2 linked regions of the Neurospora crassa OR74A genome follow. The protein of the gene in region 1 binds, or shares a complex with, the protein of each later gene. Links are inferred from orthologs where the notes say so. Each region holds a gene or a part of one and is shown in the gene's direction. Other genes may lie near its edges.

Region 1 (4,269 bases):
GGGCGATCCAGAGGTAGAGGTACCGACCTCGTCGGTTCCTGAGGGCAAAGCACAAGGTTTCCTGGTGATGCGAAGAGCTTGGCACTGGTGGGTCTGATATGATTACATGTAACTCCAGTAGTGTATTTCAAGACATGGCTTTGTTATAACGCACTATTTCTCTTTTTAATATCTGTAACTTCAACGGTGGCGCCATTATGTGAGGCAAAGAAGTCGAGAGGGACCTGTGATTTGAGTTGCAGAAAATGGGATGGTGTTTGTTACATTCGGTTCAGACCTGGATCTGGGGACGGCACACCGTAGTGGGGGGGAAATACAGTGCGGACTCTGAGAGAGGTCCGGACGAAGCTATTCCCAGGTACTTAGCCATACGTACTTATAAATAGACGGTGCCATCTTGCGCACAGCCTATCTCCAGTGGACCCTGTGAAGCTCTTGTAGTGTAGCTCGCTTACAGGCAAGAGATGAAGAAACTCTCTGGCACGCATGTGTCCCTGTTACCAGCAAAACAAAAGAAAAGTATCAACATGCCAATGACAGGACCATCTTCAAGTCTAACCGCAGCACAGCAAGCACAGTGCACGTCATGTTCGTACAACCCCAGAGCTCTCAAGAAGCGCGCCATGAGATGTCGAATCAAGCAAAATACCGCTGTGATTGGGCATGACCAGAACCAACAGTCGGCTGTGATCCGGATGATGCCAGGGACTTGTTCGAGATATGCGTGCCAAATGGTGGGTCTAAGCGCGGATGGCTGGGGATCATGACCCCCCGAAGAACATCTGAAACCAAAGATGCTCGGTTCAACTCAAGTGGTGAGTTCCATGATGCGCGGCATGAACGTCTCTCAGATATAGTTTAGCCATGCGGATCCCAGAGTTCAAGCATGTCGGCGACTGAACTTTGCATAAACATGCCCAATGTGCTCAACATCATAGTTAGAGCTTCCGTTGCTAGCTCCCCTCGAGGGCATGGATAGTGTCGGTTGGTGTCGGTTGGTGTCTGTACACGGCACCATATGCTCCGATGTGCACTTTACAATATTGTTTTTGTTTTTTGTTGTTCTCCTGACAGATGAACTCCAGATTGTTTGGCTGTCAAGATGTATGGTCGTGACGGTCCGAGACTGGCCTAACGAAATCTGTGAACTGTTTTCGCACGAACCCAAAGGGCGTTGTGACATCCTCGTGAGCAAAATGACAAGCACAGTAAAAGATGCCATCACAAAACATAAAGAATTCGGGACAACTGGAAGTTGGTGATGGGGCTGCTCGCCGTTCAATGTTGACGAAATGCACGGGCCAAGCCATGTGTTCTTTCTCTGTACATAACAGTTCTATGGCCTGGGCCTTGGCGAGGCTGAACGCGTTATGTGGCGCGTGGCGTAACAAGTTCAGTTGGAGGGTATGTACAGGGGCGGGTGGCCGGGCCTTGCTTGGCCCGCCGTCTTGCTCCAAAAATTCGGGTCTGGTCGACACTACACAATTGACGTGCGTGCACCGACCGACGTGACCTGGCGGCAGGCGAACCACCTAGGAGCGAGCAGCACGTACACGGCGGCAGCAGCAGCAAGCGGGCAGCCTTTCGGCCAGAAAGGTTCAGGGCAGTCGCGGTCAACTCAGACCTCCTTCAATTGCTAATCACTTCTTTTTCACCAAACGAGCTCGCTCTTCACCCAACTTCCTCCTGTATTCTTCTTTTCTTTTTTTCATCAGCACCCTAAGAGCGACTGTTGCTCCCATCGAAACGCGCTTCATTTCCAATTCCGACCCTCTTAGGCGGTCGAGACTTGTCCGAAAAGACACCTATTTACACACCAGTTTGCGCCACCCCAACCAGCCGTAACCATGAGCAACAGCATGCGCGACTTGATTGACGGCGAGGCCGAGCTCGATGACGAGGAGGATGATGAGTCCTTTGATGAGGAGGCCGGCGACCGCCCGAGAAGAAGACCCAACATTGATGATTCCAGCGAAGAGGAGGAGGACGACGAAGATGAGGAAGAGGCTAGAAAGGTATGCCGCCTCTGGCCCGATGCTGCAACATAGCTCCGGTTGGGAACAACGCTGACACACCCACCGCTCACAGATTCGCGAAGGTTTCATCGTAGACGAAGATGAAGAGGACGAGGCCGAGGATTCGGATGCGCGCGAACGCCGTAGGAGAAAGAAGCGCCGTCGTGAGCGCGAAGAGGAGGAGCAGCTCGACGAAGAAGATCTCGACCTGATTGGTGAAGCGATTCCTGAGTGGGAGCGGAAGCCACAACCCCAGGTATGTGCTCTACGGTTTCCGGTGATATCATCCAGTCGGCTCACCTTTTTCCAAGCAAACCAAGTTCAAGCGCCTGAAACGGGGTCATAGGGATGACCACCGCCCCACTGAACGTCGCGGTCTTGCCGAGATCTTTTCCGATGAGGACGAAGAGCACGATGATCGAGGCTACGGCCGTCCCAGCGGCCGGGCTCAAGCGGACGAGTTCGACGACTTCATCGAAGATGATTACCCCGAGGATGACGAAGAACGTCGACACCGCGAAGAAGATGAGGAGGTTGCTCGTCCCAAGGATAGGGGCCTCAACATCGACACAACCGGCCTCGACAAGGATGCTCTCGAGGACATGGATGCCATTTTCGGTAATGGTGAAGATTACGAATGGGCGTTGCAGCTGGAGGAAGAGCAGGAGCACGCGGAGCGAACAAAGGAAGATATCGAGTTGCAGGATGTCTTCGAACCTTCGCAGCTCAAGGAGAAGCTTCTTACCGACGAGGATAACAGGATTCGGTTCAACGACGAGCCTGAGCGCTTCCAGCTCGATCGCAAGGCTTTCAAGAATCTCCAGATGACGTCCGATCAGTTCAAGGAGGAGGCTCGGTGGATCAGCAACCTGATGCTACCCAGCAAAAATCTTTCCAGTGAGCTTCACGGTCCGTTCAACAAGGCCGTGGGCAAGGTCCTCGAATTCTTCGTTATCGACGGCGTCGAAGTTCCCTACGTTTTCCAGCACCGAAGAGACTACCTCATCCACGCCAAGAAGATGCGCAACCCGAATCGCCGTGACGATCCTGACGCTCCCGAATATACTGTTGACGCCGAGAAGCTCCTTACCCAAGATGACCTGTGGAAGGTCCTGGATCTCGACATCAGGTTCCGGTCTTTCCTGGAGAAGCGTAACGCGCTAGAACAAACTTACGACAAGCTCAAGGAAAAGACCCGGGACGATATCCTTGAAGAGATGATACGCCAAGCGCAGTCCATTGAGGAGCTCCAGGATCTCCAAGATTACCTAAACTTCCAGTATTCGGCGGAGCTGAAGGACCTTGCTGCCAACGATAATAGCGCACAGCGTGAGATTAAGAGGGCCGGTGGCAGGACAGCCCAGTTTGAACGCATCCGGCGATCCAATGCCTACAAGTTTGTCCAGGCACTCGGAATAACGCCTGATCGTCTTGCCAAGAACATTCTGCGCGAAAGCAGCAAGGTGACCTCAGAGGACGATTCAAGGCTACCAGATGACCTGGCCGACACATTGGTAGACGCCGATTTCCCGACCGGCGAGTTGGTCATCAATGCTGCTCGCCAGATGCTTGCTGAAGAAATGTTTGCCAGTCCTCGGATGCGCAAACACTTCAGGAAAAATTTCTACGGCATGGGCATTGTGAGCTGCCGTCGTACTGACAAGGGTCTACGCAAGATTGACGAAGCAAATCCTTACTACGAGGTCAAGTATCTCAAAAACATGTCTATCGCCGATCTTGCCGTTCGCCCGGAGCTCTTCCTCAAGATGATGAAGGCAGAGGAAGAAGGGCTCATCGAAATTAAAGTTTCGCTGGAGAACGACCGCGAATTTAGGCAACAACTTTTTAGTGATTTCGCCTCGGAGAACTTTAGCGAGCTTGCCGACAAGTGGAACGCGGAACGTCAAAAGGTGATCGATTTGGCCTTTGACAAGCTGGTAAAGGTTATTGTCAAGGGTGTGAAAGACTCCTTGCGGACGGCGTGCCAGGATGAGCTGCTTAAAACCTGCCGTGAGCTTTACTTCAAGAGACTGGATCAAGCCCCTTATAAGCCCAAAGGTATGGTTATTGGCACGACTCCCCGCGTGCTCACGCTATCGAATGGCATGGGCGATCCCAACCGTGAACCTGTATCCTGGGTCTCGATGGATGAGGATGGAAGGATTCTCGAACACGGTACCTTTACCAACCTAGCTCGCGATGAGAGTCAACGCGAGGCCTTGGCTGAGCTAGTCAGGCGTCGGCAACCTGATGT
Region 2 (4,379 bases), on another chromosome or scaffold:
GGAAGCTGGTAAGCCAACCAGAACTGGCATTTTTGTCTGTCGATGACCGCCTCCTTCCAGGCCGTATGCCCTCCTCCCAGTCACTATCAGATTCGTCGGATGCATGGTCGAGGCGAGATCGTACGCTTCCCACGTCTCGGTCGCCGCGCTGGCGTTTCCGCTTCCTTACTTGTCGAGGACGCCCATTTTGAAGATATTGCCTGCTGAACATGGCCTTGCCTGCTTGCAGTGGTGTATAAGCCGTAGCTGGAATTCTGAAACTATCATCGAACATGGTCTCTGGCGTGTCGGGTGGCATTTCAGAGATGTCCGTCATGGCGGGACTCGCCTCTGAGGGCGACTCTAGCGTCTGCTCATCGGTTCGCTTCTGAGGTGTCGTAAAGGCGGGGTTTCGAAACTGGGGCGCCGTTGGCTTATTGTGTAGTTGGGGATTGAAGGATGTATTAGGAGGTTTCAGGGTATCGCGGTGCTCGTTGACAATGCTGCTTTGGGGAGCAGCTGAGGTGGCTCCGAACGTGGGGTTGCTAGTCTTTGATGGCTGTGAACTGAACGAAGCTGTTGGCGCGATGACGTCCTGTCAGCAAGAAGCTACTAGAGCATAGCATTGGAGACGAAGCCGAAATTATGCCACCGCAGAGTCAATTTCAAGAAGAGGCGTTGGCATTTGTATGTTGCGCCGCATGCTGTAGAGGAGTGCGACCTACATAGTGGTGGTTGCTTTGACAGTAAAGAAGCAAAGGGGCTTGTGTGATCCACGGGCGGGTTGTTATCAAATTCCCATTCCATTGGCGATTCGTTTCCTCGGCGATCCATGATGACGGGGCGGTCGACGTGCGCGTCGATGTTGGTGCGTTAGGAAGTTCACATTTGTCTTGGGAGTTGATGGGTGGATGGACAGTCTTATGGTTGAGAATAGAGGAGGGCGGGACGACGTCAAATGATCCTCCCTTCTTTTTTTTCTCTTTGGAGACAAAGCTTCCAAAGGTCAGGGATATGACCGCGGAAGTTACCCAGGACAAAAAGTTCGGTCGTCGGTGGCAACGGCGCGCCAAAGTAAACACATGGAATTCGGTCACGGCCCAAATAATTTGGCCCTGGTCGTGACTGTCTGTCTTCTACCTAGCGTATTTACCTAGGTAAGGTGGTAAGCGAGCTCCCTGGCTTCTGCTGCGTGCCTGGAGTGTCTTCAAGTAGTAGGGACACCCCACAGCGTGTAGAGCCACCCCACAGCGTGTAGAGCCACCCCATGCAAACTAGTATCACTGACGCAGCAACACCCGGCGCGGTAGATTTGCTCGTGGCTAAACAGCGCACAGACCAAGCGGCCAGCCCGTCACCTCGTTTGGGGATGGATTGGAGAATTGAACTGACTTGAACTATTGTCTTTTACGCAAAACAACCAAACCGCCACTCAAAACACCGAAGAAATTTCAACCATTGCGTCGTCTTCTTTTCCGCCGATAGATTCTTGCGTCTGAAGAAAGACCAGTCTTGAGCTATCCCAACGAACCATCTCGCGTGCATCAGCATATCAACACCCATTCAGCAACAGCCATGTCGGACGCCGCTTCTCCGGCGGGTTCCCCTGCTGCCGAACCCACTGAGCATCGCGATGAGGACCAGGTCAACGAGACACACCAGGACGACGGAAGCAATCACGGAGGAAATGACGAGGATAACGATGGAGGCAACGATAAGGATTCCGATGTTCTGTCCGAAATCGACGAAAATGAGTTCGGCGATGATTACGGCTCCCGGCCCGTTGACATTGACGAAAATGTGGCCATGAAGCTGAAGGCGCGGAGAAAGACGACTACAGAGACGACGAAGAAGCCAAAAGAAGGACGGAGGCCCAAGAAGCGGTCGCGTGGTGACGATGACGTTGACGCTGCGGATGACGACGGTGAGCGCCGACCACGCAAGGTCCGCGCCGAGGGCGAGCGGCGTGCTAGGAAGGAGGTAGAGGAGCAGCAAGCACAGCAGGAAGAGAACCTCACCCCAGACGAGCGCAGACGGCGCGCTTTGGAACGCGCTATTGACGCTGCTGTCAAGAACCCCACCAAGCGCAGGCGAAAGAAGGACGATATCGTAAGGAGTCTCCCAATGACACGTGCAGGCTTTGTCATACACGCATGTTGACCGACATTTGAACAGGACCTCGAAGAGGAGACGGATGAACAGATTGCAAACCTCAAGGTTGCCATGGAGAAGGCCTGCGTAGCCGACAACGAAGCCCGCGAACAAAAACAGCCGGCCGTGCACAAGCTCAAGCTCCTACCTCAAGTTACCGCGATTCTAAACCGGACCGCAATCCAGGACTCTGTACTCGATCCCGAAATCAACTTCCTCCAGTCTGTCAGATATTTTCTGGAACCTCTGAACGATGGAAGTCTACCTGCGTACAACATTCAGCGCGCCATCATGAGCGCGCTCATGAAGCTTCCCATCAACAAAGATGTGCTATTAAGCAGCGGCATTGGCAAGGTCGTCGTTTACTACAACAAGAGCAAGAGCCCCAGCGCGGACATCAAACGTGATGCGGAGCGGTTGCTGGGCGAATGGAGTCGCTTGATCCTGAAGAGGACTGACGACTACAAGAAACGTCACATTGAGATGCGTGAAATTGATGTCGGGTATGTGTCTTTTATCCATCTTCCTCTCAACAACCAACCATGCTAACCTTGCTTCCTTCACTAGTGCTGTGAAGCTAGGCCAACGCGAAGGCGGCAGCTCCCAAGTGACACTGACCCAGCGTCCCGCCGGCAAGTCCCGCTACGAAATCGAGCGCGAGCGCGCCCTCGCTCCCGAAGTACGCAACAACAACCGCGCCAGGCCCGTCGGTCTTCCCGCAAGCTACACCATTGCTCCCAAGAGCACGTATATCCCAGGCCAGGCGCCGACCGATCATCGCCCCATTGGTCACAGCGGTCACGAGGCTTTCCGGAGGATGACCCAGAAGGGCAAAGGCAAGCGTTAAGAAAGTCGATTCATATCCTCGTTCCGGGGTTATCGCTCGAATCTCGTAACAATACGATACATTCAGATCAAACGGTTGATCAGTACATATAGATATGGCTGAGCTCAATCGACGTGGGGGAACGAAGGGATGAAAAATGGATATAACAAACAGCGAGCAGAGTTGAAAACACCAAGGAGATGGGGGCACGACTGCCTCCTAGCTGGATTCCTTCCCGGGCAAGCAAATAAAGAAAAACATGATCAGTGCTATTGCTGCTGCTGCAGGAGTTGCTAAGGGACGATGATATGGTTGGGTGAAGGATTTTTCTACATTTCCACAAACGAACGACAGGGTCGGCTCGGTTCTCGCTCACACATCCATAGAATGAAATAGGGGCATCTCGCTGGGCAAGCTGCGGGGCGCAAATTAATCGTTGCACATTGATACACTTGAACACGTTTTTCTCCTTGCGGAAAAGTTGGACTGATCATATCCAGATGGCCGTTCCCACCTGGTTCTTATAATGGATTCAGTTTTTTATCGAGCAGGTCATAATGGGGTCAATGGATGGAATTACTAGCACCGACATACCTGCTACCGACGAAATGCCAAGAATAGACTAGTAGATAACTTACAGACTCACGTCTTTCGTATCTCAAGTCATGGTCCATCTCTATTGATCATTCCTAAAGGTATCCAGATGAAGAGAGAGAACCAAAGTGAAAGCTAGATACCGTGACCATCACTAACTTTTCTGCCCCTGTGGCATGTCAACTCGACCCAACCTTAAAAAAAAGGAAGAAAAAAAAAGGGAGAAAATAAATGTGACAAACGCAAAGGCAAAACCACAGACGAATAAGAACCGATCCAAGAATTATGAACAATTTGGCTTCATCATGTATCGCGGTATCCTATCACGAGCCTATCGATCCATCGCAGACGTGGGGAACATGTGAGAATGAAATGTCTAAAATATACTTGCTACTGTGAAACAAGGAAAAACATTGAAGGTATCTGATCTTTCGCTATAGACATGTAAAGCACACTCCCCCTTATAAACACGAGAAAGAACATGAAAAACAGCTCTCTGCTGAAGTTATGATAGGCAAAGCTAGATCGACTCGCTGTGAAGGCCAACTTCCGAGCTAGGAAGAAGGCTAAGGAAAGGTAAAATGTGGATATTTTCTTGTTCCACAGGGATAAGAAGGTATATCAAGGATCGAGATGATGTACTTCCACGGTATAGATGCAAGCATCTTATCCTGATGTAGAAATCCTTATTCTGGTGCCAGCCGAGGCTATGTAGCCGCCGACAAGAAGGGGACTTTCCGGATGTGAAACAAAGAAAAGGAATGTCTCTGATTCCGGTCTAGTACCCACCCACTTGTCTTTCGATTCATAGCTTGCCTGCCAGCGCAGC

What was found.
Region 2: the proteins of NCU04611 (region 1) and NCU09203 are in contact, whole or in part, in a crystal structure (PDB 3OAK), measured with the Saccharomyces cerevisiae proteins. The link is inferred for Neurospora crassa OR74A from reciprocal best matches to the Saccharomyces cerevisiae genes SPT6 and SPN1. Residues at the interface, in NP_011631.1 of Saccharomyces cerevisiae: Lys241, Glu244, Met245, Asp247, Ile248, Phe249, Gly250, Gly252, Asp254, Tyr255, Trp257, Ala258, Leu259, Ile261, Glu262, Asn263; in NP_015458.1 of Saccharomyces cerevisiae: Arg222, Glu226, Pro227, Leu228, Pro229, Asp230, Gly231, Thr253, Leu256, Lys257, Gly262, Arg263, Val264, Ile266, Phe267, Lys270, Ser271, Lys272, Arg273, Ile286, Trp289, Thr290, Arg291, Pro292.

The regions. Positions count from the first base shown.
Region 1 is NC_026505.1:1,504,812-1,509,080, forward strand, and holds the start of NCU04611 (transcription elongation factor spt-6), read left to right. Parts: upstream 1-1,456; 5' UTR 1,457-1,847; coding exon 1,848-2,015; intron 2,016-2,088; coding exon 2,089-2,271; intron 2,272-2,326; coding exon 2,327-4,269. UniProt on the Saccharomyces cerevisiae protein: Histone H3-H4 chaperone that plays a role in maintenance of chromatin structure during RNA polymerase II transcription elongation thereby repressing transcription initiation from cryptic promoters.
Region 2 is NC_026501.1:5,819,444-5,823,822, reverse strand, and holds NCU09203 (transcription factor iws-1), read left to right. Parts: upstream 1-1,381; 5' UTR 1,382-1,554; coding exon 1,555-2,088; intron 2,089-2,154; coding exon 2,155-2,633; intron 2,634-2,697; coding exon 2,698-2,977; 3' UTR 2,978-3,629; downstream 3,630-4,379. Other genes in the region: NCU09204 (hypothetical protein), read right to left, coding at 1-555, 705-813. UniProt on the Saccharomyces cerevisiae protein: Transcription factor involved in RNA polymerase II transcription regulation. May function in both SPT15/TBP post-recruitment and recruitment steps of transcription.